4 linked regions of the Tamandua tetradactyla genome follow. The protein of the gene in region 4 interacts with the protein of the main gene of each other region in a biochemical or structural test. Links are inferred from orthologs where the notes say so. Each region holds a gene or a part of one and is shown on either strand. Other genes may lie near its edges. The genes, in order: APPL1, RBSN, CHML and RAB5A.

Evidence for each region.
Region 1: the proteins of RAB5A (region 4) and APPL1 form a complex in vitro, tested with the Homo sapiens proteins (2 studies listed by BioGRID and IntAct, with this or other methods). The link is inferred for Tamandua tetradactyla from reciprocal best matches to the Homo sapiens genes RAB5A and APPL1.
Region 2: the proteins of RAB5A (region 4) and RBSN form a complex in vitro, tested with the Homo sapiens proteins (3 studies listed by BioGRID, with this or other methods). The link is inferred for Tamandua tetradactyla from reciprocal best matches to the Homo sapiens genes RAB5A and RBSN.
Region 3: the proteins of RAB5A (region 4) and CHML form a complex in vitro, tested with the Homo sapiens proteins (2 studies listed by BioGRID). The link is inferred for Tamandua tetradactyla from reciprocal best matches to the Homo sapiens genes RAB5A and CHML.

The regions. Positions count from the first base shown.
Region 1 is NC_135341.1:27,903,499-27,910,375, reverse strand, and holds the start of APPL1 (DCC-interacting protein 13-alpha), read left to right. Parts: upstream 1-3,855; 5' UTR 3,856-3,982; coding exon 3,983-4,036; intron 4,037-6,877. UniProt on the Homo sapiens protein: Multifunctional adapter protein that binds to various membrane receptors, nuclear factors and signaling proteins to regulate many processes, such as cell proliferation, immune response, endosomal trafficking and cell metabolism.
Region 2 is NC_135335.1:35,137,915-35,145,910, reverse strand, and holds the start of RBSN (rabenosyn-5), read left to right. Parts: upstream 1-4,980; 5' UTR 4,981-5,135; intron 5,136-5,284; exon of another isoform or gene 5,285-5,315; intron 5,316-6,238; 5' UTR 6,239-6,332; intron 6,333-6,940; 5' UTR 6,941-7,098; coding exon 7,099-7,246; intron 7,247-7,996. UniProt on the Homo sapiens protein: Rab4/Rab5 effector protein acting in early endocytic membrane fusion and membrane trafficking of recycling endosomes. Required for endosome fusion either homotypically or with clathrin coated vesicles.
Region 3 is NC_135333.1:12,778,168-12,785,942, forward strand, and holds CHML (rab proteins geranylgeranyltransferase component A 2), read right to left. Parts: upstream 3,020-7,775; 5' UTR 2,749-3,019; coding exon 790-2,748; 3' UTR 119-789; downstream 1-118. Other genes in the region: OPN3 (opsin-3), read right to left, coding at 6,991-7,363. UniProt on the Homo sapiens protein: Substrate-binding subunit (component A) of the Rab geranylgeranyltransferase (GGTase) complex. Binds unprenylated Rab proteins and presents the substrate peptide to the catalytic component B.
Region 4 is NC_135341.1:68,345,813-68,352,705, forward strand, and holds the start of RAB5A (ras-related protein Rab-5A), read right to left. Parts: upstream 3,022-6,893; 5' UTR 2,612-3,021; intron 1-2,611. UniProt on the Homo sapiens protein: The small GTPases Rab are key regulators of intracellular membrane trafficking, from the formation of transport vesicles to their fusion with membranes.

The sequences.
Region 1 (6,877 bases), about 40 Mb from region 4:
GGCCTAAAGTTAGAGAATCCAATTAGAAGCTGTATTAGTCAGGGTTCTCTAGAGAAACAGAACCAACAGCAGATAGCAATAAATATGAGACTTATAAAGGTGGCTCATACAATCGTGGGAATGGAAGTCCAAAATCCGCAGTGCAGACTGTGAAGCTGGCAGCTCTGATGAAGAGTCTGGACGAATTCCACAAGAGAGTCTCGCTGGCTGAAGAAGCAGTGGAAAAGTCTCTCTTCTTCCTTAAAAATCTTCAACTGATAGGATTATCTCTTTGGTGGGGGACAGGCCTTAGTTGATCTTGGATGTAATCAGCCACAGACCCGATCAACTGACTGATGATTTAACACACCAAGCTTTCCAGTTTATCAACCAGCCACAAATATTGTTGCAGCACCCGTCAGGCCAGTTGTTTGTCTGACCAGATAACTGGGCATTATAACTTGGCCAAGCTGACACCAGAACCTAACCATCACAGCTGTTTTAAGATTCTTCCAGATTTATAATCAATTAAACCACATTTCTACCCAATTGTCTGTCAGTCTGTTTTTTTGTTTTTGTAATTAAAATTTTATAGAAATAATGCATTTAAAAACATATAAAATAAATATATAATTATTCAGTGGTAAAATTCTTGGTGGTTTTTCCTCACATTTTATGTCATGTTTTCATGTACATCAAAAGATACATTCATATTATAAGACACATAAATCTTTAAAGTTAAAAAACACTTTGAGGGCGGGCCGCGGTGGCTCAGCAGGCAAGAATGTTCGCCTGCCATGCCAGTGGACCCGGGTTCGATTCCCAGTGCCTGCCCATGTTTAAAAAAAAAAAAAATTTGATACAGATGCCCTCAAATTTTTTGTTGAATGAAAGACATATGGTAGGGATCATGTTTCGCAATTTATTTTATCCTTTTAAATACAGTGCTTTGATAACAATACATGCACAGTGTGTGCTACGTAAGGTAAAGAATTTCTAGTCAACTAAATGCCCCACATGCCCATGAGTTTCCATGCCAGGCAAAGCAGAGGAAAGAGCAGTGAAGCCTTTTGCCCCAACGGAGCATTTATTTTCCCCTGCAAACTATGTAATCATATATATATTATATTAGTTAAAAAGTAAATAGTAGGTGCTAGATATTTCTACAAAACAAGAATTCAATCTAAAAACTAGAACTTGAAATAATTAAAAATTTTCTAGTTTTAATTGTGTTATTCACCATACTCATGTTTTCATCTGAAACTTTTGCATCTGAATGAGAATGAAAGTCATTCTCTTTCAAATGAGTGGTTATGCCTAACATAAAGAACTAGTCATCACTTAAACTAGTATTTTCTCATTTTGATATCATTATTTGTAAGTGTTCTTAAGGTTGAAAACTAATTTAATCTGCTTTGAGAATTTTGTTACAGAATTTTGGAACCAGCTGCTTTAGAATGTTCTAATTGCTTGATGGCCCTGTCAGAGATTTCAATATTTCTAGGTAGAATCTCTAATTTTCTCTTTTCTTCTGATCTTTAACAGCACAGCTAATTACGATAGATTGAAATTTCTGATCAACTGGCCCAGGGGGTACCTCAGATACATGCACTGTACAGCGACATTAAACATCTCCTGGCATTTCCCAGATCATCGAGAAACTTAATGACTACCTCATCGATAATTCTGGTGGCATGCTTTAGAGATTCCTTGTGCTGGAGGTTTCTAATTGCTTCCACTGAGACTTCAACAGTGGAAGTCTCAGTGGGGTGGAGAGTTCGTCCCATCAAACGATTTGTGGTTGGATTTAATACTCTTTCTTCATTGCTAATCTGCCTCATGTGCTCTTTTAGATACTGCGGATCATTTCCAAGAGGATTTCTTTCTGTTGCTCAACAGTAGTTGCTGCTTCTCTCAAAGCTTCAACCCTGAGCTCTCTGCTGGTCCAGGCTCTTCAGCCAGGAGGGTGAGCGGTAGAAGCGCCCCTCGTTGGCTTTTCACGATGATCTTGGACTGAGCATCTGAGCCTTCGTGGGGTCACTTGCCCCAGGTAGCGGCAGGTCGAGTGTGGTTTTTGTTTTTTCTTTCAACCCGCTGAGCCTGACAAGAATTCCTTGTCCCTCTCTGGTGATGTAACAGTCTCTTGAAAGTTCTCTACAGCAACAATTTGTACGTACAAAATACACAAAAGAGGAAACTATTTAACTTGATGATAATACCCCACTCAGACAACCGAATTTTTCACTGGAATTATTCAGTTTGACTTGTGAGTAATTCCCCACTGGTTTACCTCATATGATTACGCTTATTTCTGAGACTTTATTTTCACCTGTCACTTACTTCTTACATTTACCAGTTTTCTATACTTTCTCCTTTATTTATAATCCAAATCGCAGTTCTATCCAGAAGGTCACTTACCTTAAGAGTCTTCCTTTCCAGAGCAAGGTTGCAAGCACTCTTGCTGGCAGTGTAGAAAAGAGGCAGGAAGGGCAGAGCTGGGTTGGTGGGGTGTGCATGATGCTGGGTACAATAAGCATCTGGGAATCCCACTGCTAACAACATATAAACTTACTCCAAATCGTCTTTCTCTAAAACTGAAGACCTCTTCTAGAATGTCACTAGCTATTTATAGCAAAACAGTCCAAGAAATATCTATCATTTAAAGGATAATTCTGTGGCACTGCATTGCAGGTCTACTTGACAAAATGTTTTTAAGCTGATTTTATCTTTCCTTCAAGAGATCATGGGGAAACCTAGTCTTTTAGCTTAAAATATGTAACTTCCATTCCTGTCACTGTGTTTGGATTTGTTCTCCACTTTATTTGGATTTCTTCGCAATGTATCTGTGGAATCAGGCAGCTAACACTCTTTGCTCAGCATCTCTTATATTTCTTAAATGAAAATTGAACGGAATGACAGGATTAATGGCTTTATTTTTAGAAGACACTAAGTGATTTTGCCATTTTCTCCCTATACCGATGAAAGCTTCTTATTATCCTGCAGAAAAATAAATGAGGCAGTGTAAGTTTGGGGAACAGTAAAAAAGGTAGGAGGAAGACCCAGCTTCTGGTATTGATCTGGTGGAATCCTCAACTTCTTTGAGCGTCACTTTTCTCTACTGCAAAATTAGAGGCTGGAGAATCTATTTAAAGCCTTTTCCAAATTTTTCTGATTTGACAGAAATGCTAAGCAGTTACTAATATAATGAACTCGTGAACCTTGATTTAAAAAAGATATTTGCATTTTCATTTGTAATTTAATGGAAATATGGAAGTCTGAACTGCAGGTGTTAGAACTGACGAAGTGGCGGAAAAGTCACGTTTTCAACGGAATATACTGATATCCAAGTGCCTAGAAAGGAAACGTCGAGTCCACTGTCCAAGAATTTACCAGAAATCACAGGTCACTGAGATCTGCGTCTCCTAGCACCATTTTGCTGGGTGCTCCGGACAGGAAGCACCCAGGTAATAATGCGAGAAGGTAACAATGCGAGAAACTAAAGGAAGGAGCCAGCCAGCATCAGGGCTTTTTCCAAGGTCTCTCACGAAAGAAGTTGCAGGAGAAGTGAAACCGTCAAAATTCCCCAGTATGGTCCTCACTCGAGGGTCTGGTTGCCCGCCTTCGCACGCCGTGGGGGAGACAGTCCCCTACCAATCATCCAAACGCGCGGTGGTCGAGAAGACACCCACCGAACACTGTTAGTGCCGCCTCCGCGGTCTCCACCGCCTGGGAGCTAGCGCCCGCCACACAGCACCGCTCTGCGAAAGGACCTCCCAGCCAGTCTCGCAGCGCTGACGGGCGTCGCCGCGAACCAATGGGCACGCGGGAGGCGAGGCAGGGTGGGCCAGGGGGCGGGATTTCCCGCGCGCTCGCTTAGGGCCTAGAGAAGGCGGCGCCGAGTGGCGACGACGGCTGCGGCGCTTGCGAGGGAGGGCGGGCCGAGGTCAGCTGCTGCGGGCGGGTCGGCCTTCGCGTCTCCTACCGCCGCCCTCCCTCCGCCACGATGCCCGGGATCGACAAGCTGCCTATCGAGGAGACGCTGGAGGACAGCCCGCAGGTGAGGCGCGGGCGGTTAGCAGCTGAGCGCGGCGGGACGACCCGGGGCCTGGCGCCGCCGCCGCCGCCGCAGGTACCCCCGGGGCCCAGGTGGGCGCCCCCGTGCGAGTGCCCCCGCCCGTCGGGCCGGTCGCGGGCGGTGCCCGGAGCCGCCGAGGCCGGGGCCTGCCTCCCGAGGCCCGCGGCCCGCGTGGGCCTGCGCGGCTGGGCCGAGAGCCGCGCACTGTTTCCCGGACGTCCGCAGGTTGAGCCCAAAGCCGCCGCCTTCGCGCGTGGGCCCATGGTGACATAATGCGCGCGGGTTTCTCTTTTATTTGTTTTTATCGAAGTGATGCGCCGTGATAAATCTCGGTCCTGAAACTTTCCCGCAGACCGTTTCGGAGAAAATGCGGAAGGGGCAAAAAAAAAACCGGTCGACTTTGATTTCTGAAGGCTTTGCAAGCCGGAGAAGAAAAGGGGTAGATAGGTTTTCCTCGGGAGATGCTGAAAGCCTCCTGATGTCCCCGGGTGGGGAGTCTTTGGAGAAGACCAATGAAAGTCCCGGAGCTAGAATCCGCCCCTCCCTGCCAAGTGTGTTCGCTGTCGTGGCCGCGACTGTCCCGCTGTCACTCGAGCTGTGCACGGCGTGTGATGTACTACTTCTTCGCGGATCCTCGTCCTTGGATGCAGAGTTGGCCTTAGTAAAGTAATCAAAATAAGAGCCTCGTGTTCTGTGTTTGGTCCATTGGGGATGATGCTGTGTGATTGCTCTGGCTTAAGTCACTCCAGCAAAACTTGACCATTTTATATTTGTTCAGTATTGGAGAATGTAATCACTTATGCTGAGAAAAAAGTTATCGGTGGGGGCTGTAACTTGCACAGAAACACTTCATCTGTAAGCCTGTCTTTTACACAATAATGTAAGCGATTTAAGACGATACTGTTGGCTGGATGCCATGCAGAAAGGAAAATTTCTGAAATACTGTCCATTTATAGCTATAATTAAAGATTTTCCACGTCTTGGTAGTTTGATATGGCCCCAAAAGAAGGACAGGAAGAAAGGTCTGGATTTCCTCCTCTTGGGTGGTATTTCTGCCTGAAATTTTTGCCAGTTTTGTCAAGTTACAATTGGACCCTGATTGTGGAACTGATTTTGTTCTGTTTTTCATTCTGAAAGTTATCTTCAGAGTCCTGGAAATATGCGCGCGGGTTTCTCTTTTATTTGTTTTTATCGAAGTGATGCCCCGTGATAAATCCCGGTCCTGGAACTTTCCCGCAGACCGTTTCGGAGAAAATGCGGAAGGGGCAAAAAAAAAAAAACAAAAAACCGGTCGACTTTGATTTCTGAGGCTTTGCAAGCCTTAGAAGAAAAGGAGTAGATAGGTTTTTCTCGGGAGATGCTGAAAGCCTTCTGATGCCCCCAGGTGGGAAGTCTTTGGAGAAGACCAATGAAAGCCTGTACTTAACACTAAGAGAAACCCATATTTGGATTATCTTGATTACCAGAATCATTAGTGCAAATTCTTCTTAATGACTTTCTTCACTGAACCACCTGTGCACCTTGAGTATTAATGTTTTTAAAGGCACAGGTCATATTAATATCAGTTCTACAGTAATCTTTAATGAAATAGGCCACATTGATATTCTTTTACTTTCTAGAAGCAGTACTTTTGAACTAGGTAATGTTTATATGGGATCAGTTGGGACAACTGGGATTTACGAAGGGATGAAACTTGGAGGTAATTCTTAGGGAGAACCTGGGGCAGGATGGAAAGCCCTGGATCTGGGGTTTAGAAGGTAAGAGTTATAGACTTGACTCCCTAGTACCTTCTGCTTTAGGATGAATAACTCAGCTTCTTTGAACCTTAGCTGTTATAGATAATGAATGTTTTTATTTTTATTCCTGATTTTAAAAATCATAGTTGTTTGCTTCAGAAAAATTTGAAGGTTCAGAAAGAGTACACACATATACCTCTGATACACCCATCAGGAAACCCTGTTAACAGTTTGTTTTCTTTAGTGCAGTCTTTTTTCTTTGTATTTTGATGTAATTGAGATTATATTGTGCATAGCAATTTTTATCTTGCTTTTAACTTGACATTATAGCTTAAGAATCTTCATGTTATTATATTTTGAATAAACAAGTTTAAGGGCTGCACATTTCCTCAACTGCTTTTACTTGGACTTCTAGGATTTTTTGAAACATTCACTCTAATAAGTAGGGCTGAAATGAATGCCTTTGGCCATTAATTTTTGTTTTCATCCTGGACTATTTTCTTAGGATAGAGTCCAAGAAATAAAACGGCAAAGAATTTGAAAACCTTTAGAGCTCCTAATATGGTTAGTTTTTTTTTATTAGAACGTTTGATATTAAAGATGGCCTGTCAGTTGCTATGTAAAAATGTTAACTGGGAGTCATGTAAGCCTATTTTGAATTACAGTTATCCCTTTTTTAGAACTACTTTACAGGAACTAAGTATTGAAATAGAGGGGGATTTGTAAGTCCAAGTCCAGCTGATGTATTATAAGCATCTTTAGAATTATCACGCACGAACCACACCATTCTCAAAAGATAGGTCATATGTTGAGACAGAAAATCTTAAGACTATACATGATGACTTGTCCACATTTATAGTTTTGAAAATCAGATACAAATTGAAACTTCTTGGGTAGAAACAGGGATGATCTTTAAAAATATAATTGATTTTATGCGTAGATAGGTATTTTATCATTGATTCATCCATGGTAAAACTTAAGAAAGCCACACTCCCACATGCAAACTTCTCTCTTGAGCATACTGTGAAATAGTCTTGAGACACATATTTTTCCCCCACATTTTAACCTCTCTGATAATGGGATGCAC
Region 2 (7,996 bases), on a different chromosome or scaffold from region 4:
TGAATGGGAATAAAAATCCATTCCATGCCCGTGCTGGGTTTGAAACTGTTATGTACCCCAGAAAAGCTAAGTTCTTTTCATCCAATCTTGTGGGGGCAGATCTATTGTTGGGTGAGACCCTTTGATTAGGTTGTTAGATGTGACCCAGCCCATTCAGGATAGGTCTGAATCCATTTACAGAAGTCCCTTAAGAGGGAGACCTTTTGGAGAAAGCACAGATACTTGGAGACGGAAAACATCCCAGGAGATGCTAAGCTAAGAGATGAAATGCAGAGTTTGCACCGGAGAAGCTAAGAAAGGCTCCTGGAATCAGAAGTTGAAAGCAACGAACCAGGAGCAAGGACCAGCAGATGCCAGCCACATCCCAGCTGACATAGGTGTTCCAGAGGCTGGCCTTTCTTCAGGGTCCAGGTATCATCTTGTTGACGCCTTAAATTCAGACATTTTCATGACCTTAGACCTGTAAATCTGTAACCTAAAAATTCCCCTCGGTAAAATCCAACCCATTTCTGGTATATTGCTTCCCAGCAGCTTTAGAAAACTGAAACAGTACTCTACTTGCTAAGTGCAAGGCTTGAATCTTGTCACAGGGCTGTGGCTGGTGGAAGAAGGGACCCCCTCTTGCATTTGTCAAAGGCCCCTTTAGGCTGGCGATTGTCCTGCTGTGCCAAAGGAGAGGCCAGTTCCAAACCTGTAAATTGGGTGACCTTGCAGCCCACATACCACAAGGCAATCCATATTTCTGATAGTTTAGGTTTGTTAAGTCCCCCACTCCCCTGCCACAGATTTTGGATTCAATGAATCTAGTTACTATTTAATTCTATTCTGAGTTCTCTTCAAAGACTTCCCATATGGCAGGACCATGACTCAAAAATATTTCCATGACACCAGCCTGGATCCTTGCACCTCCTATGGTATTGTCTGACTCAGCTGTCACAACCGCTAAGGCATTTGTGTGACACCTCCCTTCTTTTTTCTTTATGCAACAAAAATTTTTTTTTGTATTTTTATACTCACCAGTTTATTTTGAAAACAACCTTTTCTGATATATATCCAAATGAATCTGAAATTATAGTTATCTCAAAGTACATAGTAGTTAACTATAAATGAAACACTGATAAAAGAACATGACTTCAACTTAATAGAATTCTTTTTCCAGTTTTTTAAATGATTTTTTCCCATATAAGCCAATATATCATATTTGACACTTGGGTTATATGTTCATATAAATCATACACATTTGTCAAAGTGAGCATAAGATTAAACAGGATACAGTGTCCTCTCTGGATATAATTAAATTTTCAGAGGCAAAGTGGTCCAAATGGGAGCAAAAAGTTGAGTGCCTCATGAAATAAACTTGATAAAGAAAAATTAAGACTAACGCTAAAGATTTATACCATAAATCATTCTCTTTCCTATCCTTTTAACATACAAATGTGACTCTGGGTATGTGTGAATCAATATACTTGTAATCAAGATTGTGAACTCCTATGACTAGGGGAGCATGTAATTCAACAAAAAGCCCTGGGATCAAAAAAAAAGAGGTAGTATAGGTGAAGAGAAGACATTTGTCCATCAAGTTATACATGTTGGCTTATTAAAGAGATAGATTATTTAGAAGTCTCAATGGGCTCAGATATTGACTTGGGCCTGAAAGTGATGTTTAATTATTTATTAAGATCATAATTAAACATATTAGAAATCTAGTCATCACTGGATAGTACCTTAAGGTTAAATACTGAAAAGAAATGATCGTTACAAAACACACAAAACGTTATGTTTTATAGTTCTATTTTGTTTGTTCCACTATTTTTGTAATTGGGGCAAGAGAAGAGATCCAATTTGTTTAAGAAAATTTAATGTACCCCATAAGCTGTCTGAATCAGAGATTTTTATTAATTCTTCTGCAAACACAACACTGATTTCCATCTATAATTTTTTTTTACAATTTTTTTTAGGATAAACAATAAGTCAGTTAAAAAAAGTTGTGGACTTGAGCTATAAAACTTTACACTTTTTGCACAGTTGAAAAACCTAGAACATCACTGTGAAGATGTTCATCATGATTGGCCTTCAGTAATGAATGGATGCAGCTTTTACTGTGACTTCTCCAAAAATGCTTTGAGCACCCAACACACTACTGGTACACAGCCTCAAAGTCAGTCATTCCTATAATAGGGATCTTCAAAAATGAGTTGGTTTGGGGGATCATAGCTCCCAAGTAGTTCAATTTTTACTTTGCAGTTTTTAACTTCACTACCTTCTCTATTCAAGTCTCTCAGATTGCTTTCATCCATACACAATATATAATCAAATGTGCAAAGTCTTCTTTGGTAACCTGCCAGGCAACGTGACCCATAGGAATGTCATGCTTCTTCATGCAATTTTGCCCTTGATAATCAGGAGGGTTTCCTATCTCATAATTGGATATTGTGGCACTGTCTATACTCCAATTATCTGAAATCTCTTGATCAGTTACAAATTTTCTGAAAACTGCTTCTGCAGTGGGTGACCGACAAATGTTACCCAGACATACACACAGCACTGACTTGGGCAGCTACCCTGCCCATGTTCTCAGCTGCAAAGAGAGACCCAGAGTGAGAGGGAATGACCTGGCTGGAACTGGATATGAGCATGATGCATGCACACCTGCAACAAACATTTATATTGTCAGTCCTTCCTACGTGCCAGAGACTGTTCTAGCACTTTTCAAATATTAACTTATTTAATTCTCCGATGCAGGAGGTAAGCACTCTTATCTCATTTTACAGATGAGTAAATTGAAACTGAGAGAATTTAATGACCTGTCTGGGATCAAACAAGTGGCAGATTCAACCCAGGGATTCAAACCTAGGGTGACTGTTTCCAGAGTTTTGTGCTTTTAACTACAAGGCTGTCCTACCTCTTAACTCTTTCTTGTGATTCGATTCTTTCCCTCCCTCCTTCCCTATGGGCTTTCCTCTTTCATTCCTCCTTCTTTCCTTTCCTCCTTTTCCTGCTTCCTTCTTGACAGACTTGGGCAGCTGACAGCTGTGTCTCCTAGATACCACCCAGCCTGGCACACCCTTTGCCAATTCTCCAGACAAGTGCCTGCTAGTCCTTTGGTCATTAATTTCGTTGCTTAGTTTTTGTTTTTTAGTTTTGTAGCTATCATTATTTTAATTTTCCTGTGTCAGATTTCTCATCTATGAGATGGAAACAGTATTAGTTTGTACCTCACAGGGTTGTGGGAAAATTAAATGAGTTAAGACATGTAAAGAACATAGGACAGTGCCTAGTACATGCTAATTGTTTAGTAAATATTAGTCATCATTATTATTTTTATAATGGAAACAACAGAGATGTTGGAAGGCTTAACTAACATTGAATATGAAAGTGCTTTTATAGGCCGTAAATCAAACAGGAAAGGCTTTGCTATCATTATTCTTAAAACTATTAATAGAAAAGCAGGGGCCAATCTGTGATGATTTCCAGAATTAATTCACAAGCTGCTGGTCACATTGCTACTGCTGTTTGGAGCAAATGAAACAGTGACTGTGACAGAGTTTTGTAAATAATAACTCATAACTGTTTAATAAAAGTTTCCTCCTGGGTGGGCCATGGGGGCTCAGCAGGCAGACTTCTCGCCTGCCATGTTGAAGACTGGGGTTCTATTCCTGGTGCCTGCCTACGAGAAAAAAAAAAGCTTCCTTCCCTGACCTCAACCACAATCTTCCTTGTAATTGTGGCTCCTCCTGGCATTTGTTTGGCCCCAGGCATTTAAGATGATATTTTCTCTCTTCAAGTCCTGGCTCTCCCACCCCAAGACAGAGGCTGGTGAAGGAGGGGCTTGTTGCTTTTCTTTTGATAGGTTTGCAAGTCCCTTCTTTATGCCAATACTTGAAAGATAGTCATTGCCTACCCCTGCTGATCTTGTAAAGTTAAAAAAACAGAATTAAAAAAAAATCAGGTTGGGGGACAAAAAGAGTTTGTAAGTCTTTGGAAGCATTTGTCTGTGCATATGGGGAAACTGAGATCCAGAGAGGAGACGCCATCTGTTCAAAGTCACAGAGTAAAGGACAGCCAGGACTAGAACCTGACTCCTGGCTCATTGCTCTTTTAGTGGCGATCCCCTTCCAAAAACTCCATACTGTCCAAACTGAGAGCCCATGTCTTCAAACCGTAGGTGACATAGGCCCAGTCTAAGCACAGAACCAGTGCTCCTGTCCACAGATTTGCTGGGGAGGACTCTTTGGAGAAAGGGAAAGCAAGGTAGGTGAAGCCAGCAATACGGAGCCCCTAAAGTCACAGTATTTAAATCTAAAACAACTCTTTGAGGCGAAGACTGATATCCCCTTTGTACTTAAGGTGTTCGGGTCAAAGAGGTCAAGTAACATCCGGAATCTAAGCCCAGACTGCCCACCATGTTCTGCAGCTTCTGCTTCTGGAGCCCAGGCCATTGCTACGCCCAGCGTCCTACAGGAACACCCACGGGACTGGGATGAGGTTGTGTCTCTAATGCCGGGTGGTACCCAGCCCAGTGCAGGGAACGGAGTTGGTACTGACAGATCCGTTCTGTGTTCTGAAAATGCTACAGGTTTCCCCATGATATACACCTCCCGAATTACGCCTTCCCATTCCAAGCCCTCACCCGCATGTGTGTTTCTCTTCCGAATATTTCCACATCCTTTAAGCCTCCTGTAGATTCCTTCTCTTATCTCTCAGGGATTAATTCAGACTGCAGTTCAGGGTGTACTAGGAGGCGTTAAAAAACCCTCGGGTGGCTCACAGGGCATTCTGAACAAGGGACAAAGAACTTGAGGCCTCGATTTCCTCATCTGTACGATAGGCGCTGCGGCCGTATCAAAGTATGCGGAATGTCAAAATGCCGCAAAATTACGGCGTCCCTCACCCTCCTCTTTCCTACGGCGCCTGCGCAAAAGCCGCTGGCCCGCCCCGAGCTATTCGAATCCGTCCCCGCCCACTTCGCGCCCTCGAAGACTCGGCGCTCGACGGGCGACTGTCAGCCTATCTTCCGGTTTCGAGACCGCCGCAGGCGCACCTGAGGAGCGCCGAGCAGCCGATGGCGATGGCTGCCGCGGTCGCGGCGGTGTGAAGGATTGAAGGTCCAGAGTCTGGGCCCGAGGACTGAACAGGTTAGCGCGTCCGCGGGAGTCTAGCCGGGTACCGAGGACCGGGCCGAACCTGCCGTTAGGGGACGCGGTACCCTTCGGGAACCGAGATGGGCGGGCCGTGTGACTGTGGGATGTGTTTGGTTGCGGTGGGTGTGACGTGTGAGGTGCGAGGTGGGGGCGTTCGTGTGGTGCCTTTCGCCAGTACGTGCTTGAGGTTATGCTGGGCGCCAGCAGTTGTGTTTGGTTATGCGGCTGAGATTTAGATGGTTGTCTGCCGACACCTTGTATTTGGTTCTCGCGTTGAGAAGGAGAAGTGCAGGGGGTTGCCAAATGTGGGGGGAGGGACGCCACCGCTCCGGGGGGGTGCTGCTTCGGGGAAGTGAGTTTTGAGCTGGGATGCGAAACGTGAGTGTGTGGTTTGTGATTGGCTTGTGGTGGTTATGGGGTTAGTGCATGGGAGGGAAGGGGGCTGTCAGAGTCAGAATGTTTGATGAACCACCAACTGGGGAGGGGACTAATCAAACCTTGGGTTACTGGTTAAGTGACCAAATGGAAAAGGGGCTGGGAATGCGTGTGTATACTCATTGGACTTCTTAGCTAAAAGAATAAAAAACCAGCCTGGGGTCACTATTTATTTTCTAGGTCACTGCCACCTTACAGCTTTGAGAACCAGGCAGCCCTCCCTAATGGTTCTCTGAACAAGTCCATCCAAAGCCGAGGGCCACATAGTCCCCTTCTTTCTATCATTCTGTGCTGTGGTCTGGGACCCCGTGGCTCCTGAGAAGTTTCTGCTGTTAAGGAACGGTTTGATCTGGATTCTCCCTATGGCTGGGAATCTTTCTTTGGTGACTTAGGAAGTTACTTTGCCATGGCTTGATAAGCCCGAAAATGTAACTTATTACGTTCTGAATTGTTTGAGCACCAAATCCTTTTATTTTTGAAGCTGTGAGAACATTAGGCTTGCTGCTCAACTGCCACTTACTGGCTTATAAAATGTAGTAAGCCTATTGGAGAGAAAGTGCTTTATAAATATAAAATACAAAATGGATTTTTCTTTTTGACCAATAGGTTTCTAATGCTCCTCCTTAGACTGAGGTTGGTTTGTTTTTTGTTTGTTTGTTTAGGGCAGGCATTGTGCCTTTTTCATCTTTGCTTTACTGGCACAGTTGCCTTGCAAGTACTAAGAGCTCAGTAAATGTGGTTGAAGAAATGAGAAAGGTAAGGAGTCAAATAAAAGCTAGTGCTTGATGATGAATACTTCTGAAATTTCCCCAGTGGCCACAGTGGCATACAAATGATAAAGTTGGATCATTTGGGATATTGAATGTATTGCCTTAGTATTGCGTTTGCTTTTTAAAAAAAAAAACAACTTTTTTAGTTGTAAACTTTAACATATTAAGTGTTTGCTTTTTTTTTTGTATGCTATATGGTGGTGGTCACATTTCATTCTTTTTCCATGTGACTATTCCATTCTTGCAGCACCATTTGTTGAATTTTTTTTTGCTGGTGGGGCGTGCACAGGCCGGGAATCGAACCCAGGTCTCTGCATGGCTGGTGAGAATTCTACCACTGAACTACCGTTGCACCCTGTGTTTGCTTTTGAAGTTAAGTTTTCCTTTCTTTGAGAATCTGTTTCCCATGTCATTTAGCTGCCATGGTCCAGTGATACTCTCATATCTTAGTGTCTTGGTCCGATGATTTGAGGCAACAGTTTGTTTTCTCAGACTTGTACTGAATAAACTTTATGTGAATTGTGAAAAGAACAAAGAATTCTTAATTGCTGCTAATTTGCCTGAATTGGCTTTTCCCCTTCTTTCCTTTCTTAGGGCTCTTCCTACTCCAGAGAGGAAACCTCATCCAGGGTTATGATGCCACTTTCTCACTGTCAATGTGACATTGGTTAGCTAATGCTGCAGGAACCCTGGTGCCTCACAGAGGAATCGCATGAGGCCACTGCCTTGCCAGGACTGAGAGGAGCACTGCCATGGCTTCTTTGGAAGACCCAGGGGAAGTGCGGGAAGGCTTCCTCTGCCCTTTGTGCCTGAAGGACCTGCAGTCTTTCTATCAGCTTCAGTCACATTATGAGGAAGAGCACTCAGGGGAAGACCGTGATGTCAAAGGGCAAATTAAAAGTAAGAGGCAAGGATCTTGCTTGTCCCATTCTGTCACCTGGAGCTTTAACTCATGGGATGGTTTTCATCAGCGTCCATGTTGCCACCAGAATATGATAATAATAATAGTAGTTACCGAACATACATCTAGTGTTTACCACATGCCAGGCATTGATCAAAACTCTTCCCTTGTGTTAATTTAAATCTCACAATGGTTATATGATTATGAGCCGGAATTAGGTAATTAGCCTAGAAGTCACACAGTGAGGCAGAACCTGGCTTTGAATTTAGGTTCAAATCGTACCACATTCTGCTCTCTCTTGCTAGATTCTTTGAATTATTTAACCACCAGGCTAGAGGGTTTTAGAGTGGAATTCCTTTCCTTTACTATTAATATGGAGGTAACTTATGCACCATTTACCTGTCATAGATTCAGGTCTTCCCACCAGCCTTTCTTCCTCAACTAGACTTTGTTCTCTATAGTCCGAAGAAAGAAGGTCAGACTTGAAAAGCAAAGAAAAAAACTAAGGAATGGCTTTTGAGCTTCCTGGGGTTCAGGTCCTGGAGAGTTGAAGAAAGAATTTTTAACTGTGCATTGTGTTTGTCATTTTCCTGGACTTCAGATTCTAATCCCTAAATTAGATGCAGCTTTTCTGGAACTCACTTACCTAGTAAGTTAGCTACTCTGCTTCTCAGGAAGCATTTCTGAAGGTGATATGCTTAAACAGGTTTGGATGCTGTTTTCACAATTCGTTGTTGGGGGGGAGAGAA
Region 3 (7,775 bases), on a different chromosome or scaffold from region 4:
AGTATTCAACCAGATCAATCTTGAATTATTCACTAAATTCTCTGTGAAATGAACCTCCCAAGAATTAGTTCTTAAACTAAGAACTGAACTCTCCAACTTTTTTTGTAATGTAGAAGCCTGTGGTGTTATCATTCACTGCCCCAGTTGTTTATATGGGTCAGGCTGATGTATTTGTAAGACGTATTTCAAACATCAGACCTCCACAAAGAATAAAGGATCAAACCAAGCTAATCTTTCTCACAATCGTAGTTAAATATATTTTATCATATTGGCACTTGTATTACTTGCAATGCCATCATCATGCCTACATGTTATATTACAAAAAAACCATATAATTTACTTTGTGTTTCACTATTCAAACAGATCTCCTCGGAAAGCAGAGGAGACAGAAACTTATAACAGCTACAAAAGTATTTATACTATTTCTTAGATACTGTTTTGTAAACAATGGTAAAATCTAAAGATCAGCAGATACAAATTACCTTCCTTTAAGCAGAGTTCCTAGTAATGAAACCTCACATATGTACCTAATTCCAAAATAAAGCAAATGCAGTTTAAGGTTTTGGATCAGGGAGTCTATCTGGCAGCCAAAAAAATGTCCAATAAGTAATAAATCAGTTACTGAAAGATTAACAAAGGCTTCCAAACACTGAATGTCTCAAATTTAACAGCAACATCTGCAAACATAGCATTTATCATATAACCACTTCTAATATGTCCTTTAAATGAGAATGTTCTGATGCCAGGATGAAGGTCCAAAATGGAATTTCCAGTTTGCTTTTTCTAATTTTAAAGGTGCTTCCCTGGGTTTTCTAGGTTTTTTATTTCTTCAGTGGATTCTACTTTGGCCATTACTATATTATTGGTTCCAGGAGCCTCTGACTGCTTATCATCACCATCAAAGATAATGTCTTCTGGATTTGGAGGTGGGGGGCAGAATTCTTCATCTGGAAAGATCTCCCGGAAAAGTGTCTCAGCTTGCTTGACTGCATGCTCATTTCCCAGACCACAGTCAGGCCCAGAGCAGATATAAACATTGGAAGGTAAGCCATTATATGAGCTTCTGCCTATTTCAGAAGAATCTCTCATGTTATAATAAAGAGCCCACAAGAGTCTTGGCTTTGTTAGTCCTTCCTTATCTATTTCTGTTTCATCATATGGAGTGAATAATTTCTTCACCACTGATTCTTCTAAGTCTTCTCTCGCTGTTTTAGAAGATGGACATGTCAGATGTACCAGATAGGTATCTTTCATGCATGTCATGGTTGAAGAACATAATTCAGTCACCCGAATGGCACAACTTTCTGGTTCTGCTGGAGGCACTATCAAAATGGAAATCTGCTGATCTGAATCTGTCTTTAGTATAGACTGATCTGTAATGAGCACTGCCCTGGAGATCTGCTTATACTGCACATTTGAGCATGTTTCCTCAGAAAGGTAACTGTCCTCCACAATAAAATATTTAGCATTTATTCTTTGACCAAAGTGATCTATAACTGCTTTACATCTTCCAGAATCTTTGTCAACTACAAGGCATTGTACTTTATGGCGGAGACAATAGATTCCACCAAAAACTGCACACATCCTGCAGAAACACTGGGGAATTTCTCCTTGGCCATACAAGGGAAATAAAAAAGGTGTGTTGCCGAACCGTCCCAGACACTGCAGGAAGTTTTTTGTTGCTTTAAGGCCATCTAACGTAGTGCAAGATGACTGTGATGTCATTGCAATTGAGTGCAGTACAAAATGCTGGAGGTTGGGAGTTAGTTTTTTAGTTTTTAAGTACTCTGAAAACGAACACTGCGTGAAAGCTTGGTATTCATCAGGATGTTGTTCGTAGTCTATACAAAATGTAAGAAATTTCATTAGCATTCTCTTTTCAACCATTGTGAGTTCTTTGCTATTAAAGACATCTGCTCTGGAACAAGGCACCTGTTCTACTTTTCCTTCCCGAAATGCAAGAATCCTAGTGACATTTTTAAATTCTGCATATCGACTTACATTTGATTTGATTAAAAGATCAATTAGCAATCCTTGAGAAAACAGCAGCTTTGATACCAAATCAATATTAAATCTTCTGCCTTCTTTAACTATTTGAGAGTAAGTAACCCTATTTTTCTTTGGTTGATCAGTGTTGTCTTCTACCATAGGTTTGCTTTCATCTTTACCTCCATCTAAAACTGTGTGAAAAGTTTTATCTCCACAATCATTTTCCTTCTCCAGAATTTCCTCTACATCATTTACTTCTAGTGAAACCCCTTTATCACTTTTTGGAGTGTCTTTGGCAGGCATTTCATAGTTAGTATTGCATAAGTGGCTTTCTTTGGGTACACATGCAGAATCCAGAGGTTCAGTGAGAGTACTAGATGCCACTGAGGAAGGATTTTTCTGCAGGGCACCAATTTCTTCAACATTGTCATCCAAATCCTGATTGGCATAACAAAAAACTTCTATGTGTTGAATGGTTGCATCCTTTTTGCGAAGAGTAATGGCTTCTTCGGTTTCATGGATCAGGTCTTGCCATGCAGCTGTTCTTTCTTCTGAATCATCACTGTTTTGCTGATATTCTTTCAACCAGGATAACAATCCTGAAAAGCTGAAACTAGCCCAGTTTCCTCCATAATAACTTCGTGAATCAACATGCAGAACCCTCTGACCACTCCTTGAACATGCAGCTGCAAGGATGGATTCAGGCAAACCTGTCCCTATTATAACCACATCAAACTCTGTAGGGAGATTGTCCGCCATTCTGGGAACTAAAGCACCTGCTGACAACTGCCGATGAAGGAAATGTTTATGAATCTAGGCTGTGGGCTCAGCTGAGGTATGAGTATGCCAAGATCAAATCTCTTCTTGTGATGTTCCAGTTTATCCCAGAAGCAGAGGTTACAGTCCTAGCTGTTTAACTACTACTCTTTTTTGGGGGGTATTTTTTTCTTACAGGTCAGTAGCATAAAAACATGACAAAGTACATCTAATCACATTTGAGAATACCAAAACTGATGTGTGGTTTTCATTTCTGCATTTCATCTTAGCAGTAAATGTCAAAATGCATCACATATGCATTTGTGACTGGAACTCTTCTCTGAAAGAAGAAAATTCAAGAAAGAATACAATTGTAAACATTAAAAGAGAAAAATAATTTCATGTAATAACAATTATAGTCTATTGAAATCTGACTTGTTACCTGGATAAAACCTCTGCTAGCCCAAGTCATTAAATACACACTTACATATATTCTTATTTCTTTAAAAAAATGAACAGTACAGATATACTTCCCCAAATCAGGCAATTCAATAATCAAGAATGGACATAATACTATCCCACAAAAATAAAGAATTAACATAATAAAATATATAACATTGGTTTTAATAAAACTAGTATTTGAGTAAAACGTAAAACTATATATAGCTGTGAGCTTAGAAATGTGTGACTCCAAAAAAAAAAAATAAATAAGAAAGAAATGTCTGACTGCATTGTGTTTGTGGAAACAGATTATGTATTATGTGACTACTGCCATGATCATGACCGTGACCAGTACAGTCTGTAGGTGATTCTGCACCAGCCAATTAGGTCTTTTCAGGCCTCAACCACCCTTAGGATCTTGTAGCAAAATGAGGGTTTGAGTATTTCTATTGAATTAACCAGTCAGTGTATTAACAAAAGATTAACTCAGCAAAGCCACTGGCATTTTTTTAAACCTGGAGATATGAAGTATAGACCTACTGAGGAGGGATATTTATTTATAACTCTTTATATCAATGTACACAAGTACATGTGTGCTTTATAGAGGTAATAAGCTACAAAATTCCTGGGTTCAAATGTTAAAATATATTAACATATTTAACACTTGCTTCTAACACTAAAGAGAGTGATTTCTGCTTCTTGTCAGACTTTGTCTCGGCAACCCTGACTCTCTGTGTCCCAAGAAATAGGTCTATTTAAACATTCTCTTGAAAGACCAACTTGTTTTCTGTTGTTCTTGGTTTTGAAGGCATGAAGGTGGTAGTTACAAAAGGCTCTCCTGTTAACTTCTGGTATAATACTTGTTATATTCCATGTGCAAGTCTGAAAGTAGGTGTGGCCAGAGGTGAACAGCCGAGGTACTGAAGGGTATACTTACCTGGATATGCCCTTTCCTTTCACCTCCCACACCTATGTGTGAATTCTGCCTTCACACACTACACTGCTAGGGAGCCCTTCTAACTATCAGTCATCTTTGCACAGCAAGAGTGAGAATTCTTTAAACTCTGATTTCCCTTTCTGCTTAACTTAACTGAAATCTAGCTCAGTACAAGCTGGGCCTGCCTAGGCTAATGTGATTAATTATTTTAGACATAAGTAAAACAAGCCATCCAACTGGAATTATATTAAATAGATTAGTTCACTGAACTGGACAGTTTAACTGAAATGACAATTCTCACAGTTCTGTCTAGTCAAAGCTTCTGCCTCAAGAATAGTAGGGATTTCATTTATTTGGGGTATTTTCTGAGAAATCGGGAATTAAGCAGAGAATGAAAGAAATGCCTGACCCACTCAAGCATTTATGTAAGTAAGTCTGAATTATTTATTCTTACTTCTTCCAGCAAGGTGTGAAGAGGGAGATAGAACCCATGAGGTTATCTTTAGAAGACTGACCATAGTATGTGCTTATTCTTGGCTTAGAGGAAATAGGGGCTGAGGGCAGAGTAAGGAGAGAGGACACAGCTCTAAATGCTAAGATCAGGTTCCTTCTAACCTATAGATAGCAAAGGAGTCATTAAAAACATAGTGTGAAACCTGAGGGAACATTTTGCTCAACTACTCCATAATAAAGATGAGAATAGACATGTAGAGATTAACAGACTTGGGGAAGTCCACACAATTTGTCAGTCACAGATTCAAGAGCGCAACCTACTCTTGTGCCAACTGGCCAGATGCCTCTGGATGAAGCAGAAATGTCCAGCTTTTAAAATTTCCTCTGCCATGGTTGATTAGTTCTTGCCCAGGGATAACAATGAGGGAAGCACCTCCCTTTCTGCATCTTTAACCCTAATCTAGACGTACAAATCTGGGACTTTACTCCACGCAATGAAATTCTTAATTTTTGCTATGAACTTCTTAAGCTCCATCATAACCCCATTACTGACTTGTCTCCCAAGGCTTAAACAAGTCTCAGAACCTCTTACCCTGAATTTCTACCTCTAATTTAAAAACAGGAATAAAGACAGGGATGAAAGCACTAACTAAATGCCAAGAAAAACAGAGCAGTCTTCAGGTAAAACACCGTGTGGTAAACATTTCCAGCATTAGAAAATCACTTTTGATTGGGATGGAATCAAGCAGGGAAGGTGAAAAAGAAAAAAAAAGGAGGTGACAAGGAGACCGAAGAGGGTGGGACAGGCAGAGGGATGAGGTAAGGAAACAGAACAGATGATGGTAATAAAAAAGAAGTCAATATACCCTTGCTTTTAAACTCCCAGCATAGAGATGGGATATAAATAGAATTTCCCAGCACTAGAAAAGGTATTTTGTGGAAATAAGAACTTTCATGTATATGATCAAACACCTGTTGCCCATCTTTGGTACTATTACTATTGGCTTGCACTTGAATCACCCTCTTTAAAGTTTAGCCTCACCTTAAAAATTGCCTGATAGGTATTTTTAAATTAATATAAAGAAAATAATAGCATAGCCATCTATAGTGCCACCTACATACACTTATAGCTCCCTTTCCAAGTTTCAAATATGTCCAAATGAAATCCCCACGTTAAAGCTTGGTGGTAGTTCAGGGGAATGGTATCAAAACTATTTAAGCAATCAAATAAATGAAATCATAATCCCTATGATATTTTCTTTGTTTCCCAAAAATACCTAAAAATGAATCACAACAAATATCATAATTGAATTTGTCAGAGCATAGTAGGTTGGTAAACAAGAAAATGTTTTTGATAATGCTACAAAGATTATGTTCTCCAAAACCTTGCAAGATAAAAGCAGTAATAAATTACTAATGGATTTCAGCATACAAAAGGAAATTTAAGACCTGAGAAGTACACATCTCTATCTCAAATTTTATACAAATGAAATTCCTAGAGTACACAAAAAATAATTTATTTTCCAAGCTTGAGACTCCTCTCAAGAGAAACTTAATTCTTCCATAAGGATTGGGAATATTGTAGAACCAAATCTTCAATTAACAATCAAGTTCTGCTTTAATGAATCTAAAGGTTGCACAGCTAATTACTTGTTCACCTGAGTTGAGATTCTCTGAGTCATTTGCAATCTCACCTTAGATTTTGGTTTCATAGGACCTATAAGGAAAAAAATACAGTAAAAGTAGCTTATAGGGTACAAGCCAATTTGCACTCTAAAGACCTAAATTAAACGCTCACTCCCTAAGAAGCATTCAAAGGTTTACAGTTGCTAATAAGCAAAACCAAAAAAAAAAAAAATTTTACACATTGCTCTTTAATGTGTAACTTATCTCTCACTTTAGGGAAAAAACTGTGTATGCATTAAATTTCTTTCCGTCACCCACTCCAACATTGCTAAGTTAATCACTGTTTTTCTTGACTCTCTTGTCTCTACAGCCCCTCGTTTCTTTTCTCAAAGTGTAAAAGCCGTTGTGTCGTGACCTGTTGAATTACATTAGGAGGTGAAAAAGGAGAAATGAGATGACCTGGGCAGGGGCTGAGTAGAGTTAGGGAGGAACTGGAGTTAAAAGGACAACTGCGGGTGAAGACAGGCTGGGGTTCAGCGTCTACCTGGGGGATCGGAATCGCGGCCAGTGGGAGGGAAGGAAGCGATGAGGCAAGGAAGGAAGGGGCGCCGTGCAACCGGGGGTGGCAGCGTGACAGGAGCGTGGGACAGAGCACGGCGGTGGCCGGGAGCGCGAGCGGGAAGGCGCGGGGGGCGGCTTGGGCGGCAAGCTGTCGCAGGGGTGGTGGCACTGCGGGAAACGGGAAGTTTGCAGTGGAGAGAAAGCTTTCTCCTCCCAGCCCAACTCACCGAAGAGGCTGCTGCTAAACCCGTCCCACGCGCAGCCCACGGTGTCCCAGACCCAGCCGTTCCTCAGGCAGGATACGAACGTAAAGGTGACTCCGAAGAGGGACACCAGCAGGTCGCTGAAGCTGATGTTGACCAGGAAGAGGTTGGTGGGAGTGCGGAGCCGCTGGAACTTGTAGTACAGGATGAGCACCAGCAGGTTGTTGCCGGCGCCCAGCAGCCCAATGGAGCCGATCAGGAGCGCCAGGCGCTCGTAGGTGCCCGGGCTGAAGAGGGGCGCCGGGCTGAGCGTCCCCGTCGGCCCCGCTCCCTGGGCGCCCGCGCCCCCGCCGACCTCCCAGTAGTCTCGGCCGCCGCTTCGGTTCCCCGAGTACATGGCCCGGCGCCGGCGCGCTGGGCGGGCGGAGGCGCTCAGCGTTCACCACAGCCCTCGGCGCCCTCCGCACTGGGTGGGGCCTCAGCTCGGGCTCAGGGTGCAGCCATCCGAAGCCGCCGAGACCGCGAGGCGTCGCGGGAACTGGCAGGCAGCCGCTTCCGCCCGGCGCGCCTCCTGACCACGCCCCCTCGCGTAGCGTGTCATCGTGACCACGCCCCCTCCTTTCGCCGGTCCCTCCCCCGGGCTCCAGCGCGCACCAGCGAGCGTGGACTAGCTGCCACTGGGGCGCGCCGACATGGTAGGGCAGAAGCGAGGGAAGTCAACTGCAGAGCTCTCCCTCCACGAGCTTGGAAGTATCATGTCCGTTCACACATTTACTCATTCACTTATGGAATCATTCATTCATAAATAT
Region 4 (6,893 bases):
AGAGGTTAAGTAACTTCACTAAGGTCACAGAGTTACTCAGGCAACCCAGGAGGTGATCCAGAGTTCAGGTTCCAGAGTTAAACTACATGGGGAAAATAATTTTGAGGACAAATAAATGGGAAGCTCTTAGACCATATTCTAACACTTACTAAGAGTATAATAAATGTTGGTTATTACTATTTGAAGGTTTCTATTAAATAGTACATGTTTTTCATTAAGTAATGTTAATTTAGGAAAAACAAATATTTTAAGGCCCTAGGTTTGTGTAACTAGTGGCTAAGACTTAAAACAGTTTCATCTGCTCAAGAATATCACACCACAGAAATGTTAACAGTGATTCTCTGTCTGGAACGATTATTAATGATTTATTTACTCACATTTTTCTGTAGTTTTTGAGCTAACAATGAATACGCCATTATTTTCTATTTAACAATACATTTAAAAAAATTATTCTAGAGTCAAACTTCTGTTTTTACTTCTTACCTAATAATGCTAATTATCAACCTCAACAGGAATTATTAAATATTTAAAAAATCTATTCCCTTTCCCAGACTACTCAGAAATCAATCAGTAGTTTACTCCCGTTTAATCGAGATCTGATCATGTGCTTGCTCATCAATAATATTAAACCCATGAATGATTCCTAACCTAAGAACCCTGTTAAATTTCAAGCAGCTGACCTGTATAAGAAATTTGCCTTCCTGATAAAATTTGAATATATATAAGACACACTCTTGGTAACGAATTTAATAAACATATATATCCACAAAACCTTATGATTAAGACAGCCTGCCCTGTTTACTTGACACCAATTACTGAGGTGTCTATCTTTTAGGAAAACATAATGAATGGATAAAATGCTATTATGACTTGAGAGGTGCCTTCAAACAATTGGAGGTATAAATAAAACAAGATTGGCCATGAGATTAGCGAAGCTGGATGATGGATTCATTACACAATTCTCCCTAGTTCTGTATACACTTAGTATTTTTCATGATTAAAAAAGTCACAACTCCTCAACATCCCTCAAACACACCAGACATGGGAATCTAATCCTGGCAATACCAATTCCTGGGCAAGTTCTTTAACTAAGTCTCCATTTCTGTAATACCTAACTTGCAGAGGTGCTGTGAAAATCAAATGAGAGTATATATAAAGAATCTCAATAAAGTACCCAATACATAATAGGGATTAAATACTGGCAATTAATGTAGCCATTTGATAGTGATTAAGTATCAGTAGCATGTCACCTAGACTGAAAATACGCCAGTACACTTTCAAATAATTCTATACATAATACCAAGTAAAACCCTCCCCAATTGTTTGTACTATGTTATCTTCAAAACAGCCAACAAGGACAACTAGTTCAGAACGTCTATGGTGCTTCCAAAATTCCAGTGAAAACATCAGATTCCCATATAAAACAAAGGAGTCTGACTTAGCTAGGTCTCTAATGTTTAAAGCTACTGGATTTTGGCTATCCCAAAGTTCTCAAATGAGAAACAAATGGAATTTAATTATAAATATGCAGTTAACATAAAATTGTATGTGCATTCATTTGTATTATTTACAGAAACTTTTGCCGTGCAAACTGAGGAGTGTGCATAACGTGCATTTTAAACTTTTTAAAAATAATTCCTATTCTGTAGCTAAATTCCTTCTAAGTGCTCTTTGGCCAAAATTTTATTAACAGCTAACAGTGAATGGACACCTACTTTGTGCATGGCACTGTTATATGAATTTAACTCACGACAACCCCATGAGCTCATATTATTATCCCCATTTTACATTAGGAGTAAAGTTTCTGAATCGTCCTGAATGATTATTATAGTGGTTAAACAAGTATTTTTTTTTCCTGCTAGTTATGTGAAAGGTAACTGCCTAAATAGTTTGCTGCCACTTAAGGAAAAACCAAAAGTCAAATATGTGAATTATGACGTTCAGAGCTTCAAGTCTGAAAGTCTCAGGGAGAGGGGAGTATCCAACTTCCTGGGAACAGAATCCAGAGCAGGTTTCATGGTGTCTACCCACTGAGGATGTTCAGCGTCCTTGTTATCTTGAATCTCTTTAAAATTGCAGTTCACCACCTTTTATAGAGACATGGGTCTCTAAGAGCCTCTTTTGAGAAGACTCCTTCTAACATTGCCCATCCGAAGAAGTCGAGGGTAGGCGGGGCTTCCCCAATTCACACCTGCTGTAGGCCCGGCTCCCCTCTGGAGTCTCTGAGTACCTCATACATACCCAATTTCTGAGCGCCTGAACAAGAAGGACCCGCCAGGCCACTTGGCCATCTTTCCCATCCTCCTCCCCCGAACCTGGCCTGGCTTTGGCTGGGACCCCCAGGACAGAAGGCAGGCGGAGCCGCGGCCTCCAGTACTCTTTCTACGGCGCCATCTTGAGAAGGGAAGAGGGTGACACCCGTCGCTCCTTAACCAGTCCCCAAATCCCGGTCCCCAAGACCGGCTGGGTCAGATGCCGAGTTCTACAACTCTGAGCGCGAGCACTAGTACGAGGCAGGGGGCTCAGTGCCCGCGGGGCCACGGGCAGGCTGGGGTCCGCTTTGCCTGGATTCGTGTCAGCTTTGGGCAGGGGGAGGGGTCGGTTTGGTTACCTGGACACAGCGCACGGGGCTGCGGGGCCGAAGCTTCCTGGCAGAGGTCCCAGACGCGGCCTGAAGTACGGGACTGAGACTGAGGCTGTGAGTGTGGCTCCGGCAGCGACGGTGTCTCCTCCTCGCGTCGCTCCCCTCAAACTGGATGGTGTGGGGCTCGTGCTGCTGGTGCCGCCCCCGTCGGGCTCCGTCCCCGCCTCTCTCCGCTCCGCCTTCCTCTTTCTTTTCTCCTCCTCCGCCGCAGCCGGCGCTCGGGTTCTGACTACTTCTTCCTCCTCCTCCCTCCTCAGCCTCCTCCCCTTAGGCCCAGCCGCCGGCTCCTTCACGAACCAAAACACAAACACTCAAGTCCCAGCGAGAGAGCCACTTCCGCCGGGCGGCGTCACCCCGCCGCCACGTCGCTGCACGTAGAAAACTACGACCTTTCGTCACTTCCTGTCGTCACCCGTCGGTCCGCTCCATCTACAACCCCACCCGCTCAAAGCCCCGCCCATCCAGGCCTCCTTTGCTGGACCGGGCGGGGTGTGTCACGTGGCCGCTACGAGCGTCCAGGGTCGGGGACTGAGGCTTCTTTTCCTCTTGGGTCCCTAGCGCTAGCGGACCTGCCCTCGCCGGCGCCATTGTTATCTGATCCGGGCTTTCTGGGCTCTGGGCGGAGGTTTGAGGAACACTCCCGGACCCTGCTTTGGGGGAGGACCCGAAGGAATTAGTGTATTTTTTCCAGGTCGTGGGGCGGTGAGGCTCTTTCATGAATATAAGGTCACAGTCGCACTCTCCGCATCGCGAGTAGCCCTGAGCAACTCAGCTCAAGGGACTTGGTTTTGAAGGAATTTATCCAGCACCAGAGACTTGCGGCGGCAGTCCCTCACCTGTTACTGGAGGTGGGTGGGACGTAAAGGGTGTATGTCATATCCCCTCCACGGAGCGGATAGGACCCTCCCCATCAACAAAGCTGTCATTGGCAGGGGCGTTGGGGGGGGGGGGGACAGGGATCTTAATAATTACCTTTTTTTGAGAGTTTATTGGTCGTGAGGGGCAAGTTCTAAAATAAAACCTATCTTTAATTCAGTTTTCCCTTCGCTAGTTACTGTTCGCCGGAGTTAACCCACTTTATTACGAAGATTACGCTCTGTTAACTAACTTGTTTAAATTCTACTTCTCTACATGAGGATATTAACCCTAGAGAGATCGTCTAGCATGATGCCTGGACATAGGAATCTTCAGAGCCTATTTAACGGGTGAAGAAATTGAAGCGCGGAGATTTAGTAATTTGTTTAAAATCACACCTAGTTGGTGATGAAACGGAATTCTAGCCTTCAGAACTTTAGTTCTTAAACATAGATTCAACTGAAAGCCAGCCCACCCTCCACAGCAGACTTAGGGCATGCGTCTTTGGTCAAATCTCACATAATAGACAAGGCATTTATTGTTTCTGTCTCCCGTTCCCCGCATTTTTATAGTAATTTGGTAGAAGAATGTTAAATTGATTTTCCTTCGGAATGAGGGCTATTTTTCAGTTGTAATGTTCAGGGTTTTTTTTAGTCCTATTGTAAAGGCATCAATAGTTGTCTTGGAAGGGTACTTGGGGCAAGGTATCCTGTGGATCTCCCTCAGCATTATGCAATGAAGATGATTTGAATCCTTGAACAGCCAGTCTTGCAGATCAACTCCCCAATTACTAACCAAAAAAGCATTATGTGTCATACATAAATGGTATCTGTGACACCTTGTCCCCAGAGGGTTGTTCCAGTATGATGTATTAGTCATGGTTATACCTTTTGGACAATCTCAGCAATAATCAGGAAGTAGGATATGTCAACAGCATGTTTAAAAACAAACCCATTGTGCCCTAAACCTGTTCCTTTTCATGCCTGGCATTAACAGCCTCCCAGTCACCAGGACTTGAAAATGAAGAATCATTTTTAACTCTTCCTTTCTCCCTCAAAAACCATTATGCATTCTATTATAAAAAATTCTCTAATCCCCAAATCTGGGCTCTTAATCCCAAACCCTGCCCCATGGTAATAGTCATATAAATTGGAATTAATACACACTATTGCCATTTCAATCCACTTTTCACACTTTTGCCAGCCACTCCTCTACTCAATAATGTTCAATGGCTTCTCATTACTTGTTAAAAGAGTAAAAACTTCTTCAGTGCTAGTCTCAACCCACCTTTCTTGCATTCTATTTCCAAATTCTCCTTCTCCCTCAAAGTTTTGCTTTGTGCCCTAACCTCGCTAGTGTACTCTGTGTTCCCTAATTATCTGTGTGTTCCCATTTTAGCTTTTTTGCTCACTTTGTTCTCTCTACCTTGAATATCATTACCACTCATCATTGCTGATCTTTCCTTGGCTGGGATGCCAACTCCTTGGATGGCATCTGGAGATACTTCTAATGGATTTAATTTTATTTTTTCTGTACTTTCATGATACTTTGCTTACCCTCTATAATTGTTCTCCTATCATCTTGCTTTATGTTACAGTTCGAGAATGCCTAAACTTTTCTTCTCAGCCCTTCATTACCCTTAGAATTATAAATTTCTTAAAGGTCAGTACCATAATTTTTTCATTATTTCAGTTCCTCACAGAGACTTATAGGGCCTTAAAAGTTATAGGGACCCCCAATTTATTAGTCAAACTTATTTACATTGAGAGTGGTGAACATTTGGCTTATGAAGACCTCACAAATAACACATGGGATGCGTAAACTTATGAATTGTTACAAATTCCCCCATTAAATCTTTCTAGTATATTGCTTCCTCCTTTATTTTTTTGGTGCATGGTCTGGAAATCGAACCCGGGTCTCCCTCATGAAAGAGGAACAGTCTACCGCTGAACACCTGTGCACCACCTCCTTTGTTTTTGTTTAGAGTCTGTCTTTTATTTCACATCCTCCATGAATACATTCCACAATATTTTGCAGTTTAGTCTTAATGTTTATCTGAAGAGTGCTGTGCCAGTGGCTGGCACCTCTAAGATGCAGAGGTATATTTTTAGAGAAACTGAAATGCCACAGTAAAGCTTTGCTCTTGAATTGCCACTCACAGTATGCCTGTTTTCTTTTTCCTGACCCCAGATAACGAGGAGGATTGATAATTGTCATGTATTTTATGGTTCCTAGAATTTGTTAAGGAAGCTGTGAAATGAATGGGGCCTAAGTAAAATCGCAAGGACTTAAATCCTGCCTTAGTGCTTACATTCCCCTCAAATCTACAGACATTTAATACTAAATTCTCATCACTTTGGCTCTCTCAATCACTCACAGCACCCAGATCTTCTACTTTCTCGTCGAGGAAGTCTGTCCTGCCTTGTGTACTTGAAGAATAATCTTTTGCATAGATGGTCACGTATGGTAACATTTTATTTTAGTTGGGACTATCTTAGACAAACTAAAATTTGTCTGGAGGCAAAACCAAATAGTAACTCTGACATAAGGAGTTTTAAGCCTGGTATCAAGGTAATAAGAGAAAAGATTGTAGAACCCTGAGCTGGCCATGTTTAAAAATTTTGTGTTGTTTGAGAGCATCATTCAGTTCTCAGCTCAAATGTCACCTACCTAGGAGTGAAACTTCCAATTTTTAAGTAGCTTCCTCCCATATCACACCATTCTGTGTTCTTCAAATACTTATCAGTATCTGAAGTTATCTTATTTATTGGTTTACTTGATGGTTATGTATCCCCCACTAGAATTTAAATTACATGAAACCAGGGGTTGGTTTATTCTCTATTGTATCCCCAGCACTAACACAATGTAGGGACTCAATACATATTTGTAGAATAAAGAATTGAATGAGCCTTTATACAGACATACCTTGATTTACACATCATCAAGTCAGACACCATCAAGTCATTTAATGCTCTTAGGGAGAGAAGGATATTAACTAGACAATTATATTGTAAACATTTTTTAAAATGTGAGATAGTATCCTTTAGTCACTTTTTTAAACTTTGGATGCTACAAAATTTTCATAGTGTTCTTGCAAAGACCAGAATCCTGTAAATTCCATTCAAATTTCAGGCTAGGTGTCCTATATCCACTATGTGTTTAGGACATGACAAATACTGACCCTATAAAATCAATTTAAAGAATAACCTGTACTTAAAAATAGTCAAGTTTGAGTTTGTCACATTTAGAGTGACAAATACATTATGCATTTTTGCATTATTGTATAGCATATGCTATACAATATGCATTATTGTATAGCATAGATATTTCAGGCTTTGTTAGATTTACTTTAAATACTACTAAAGGCTAGTTGTTAAGGTTTAAGTGTTCTCAA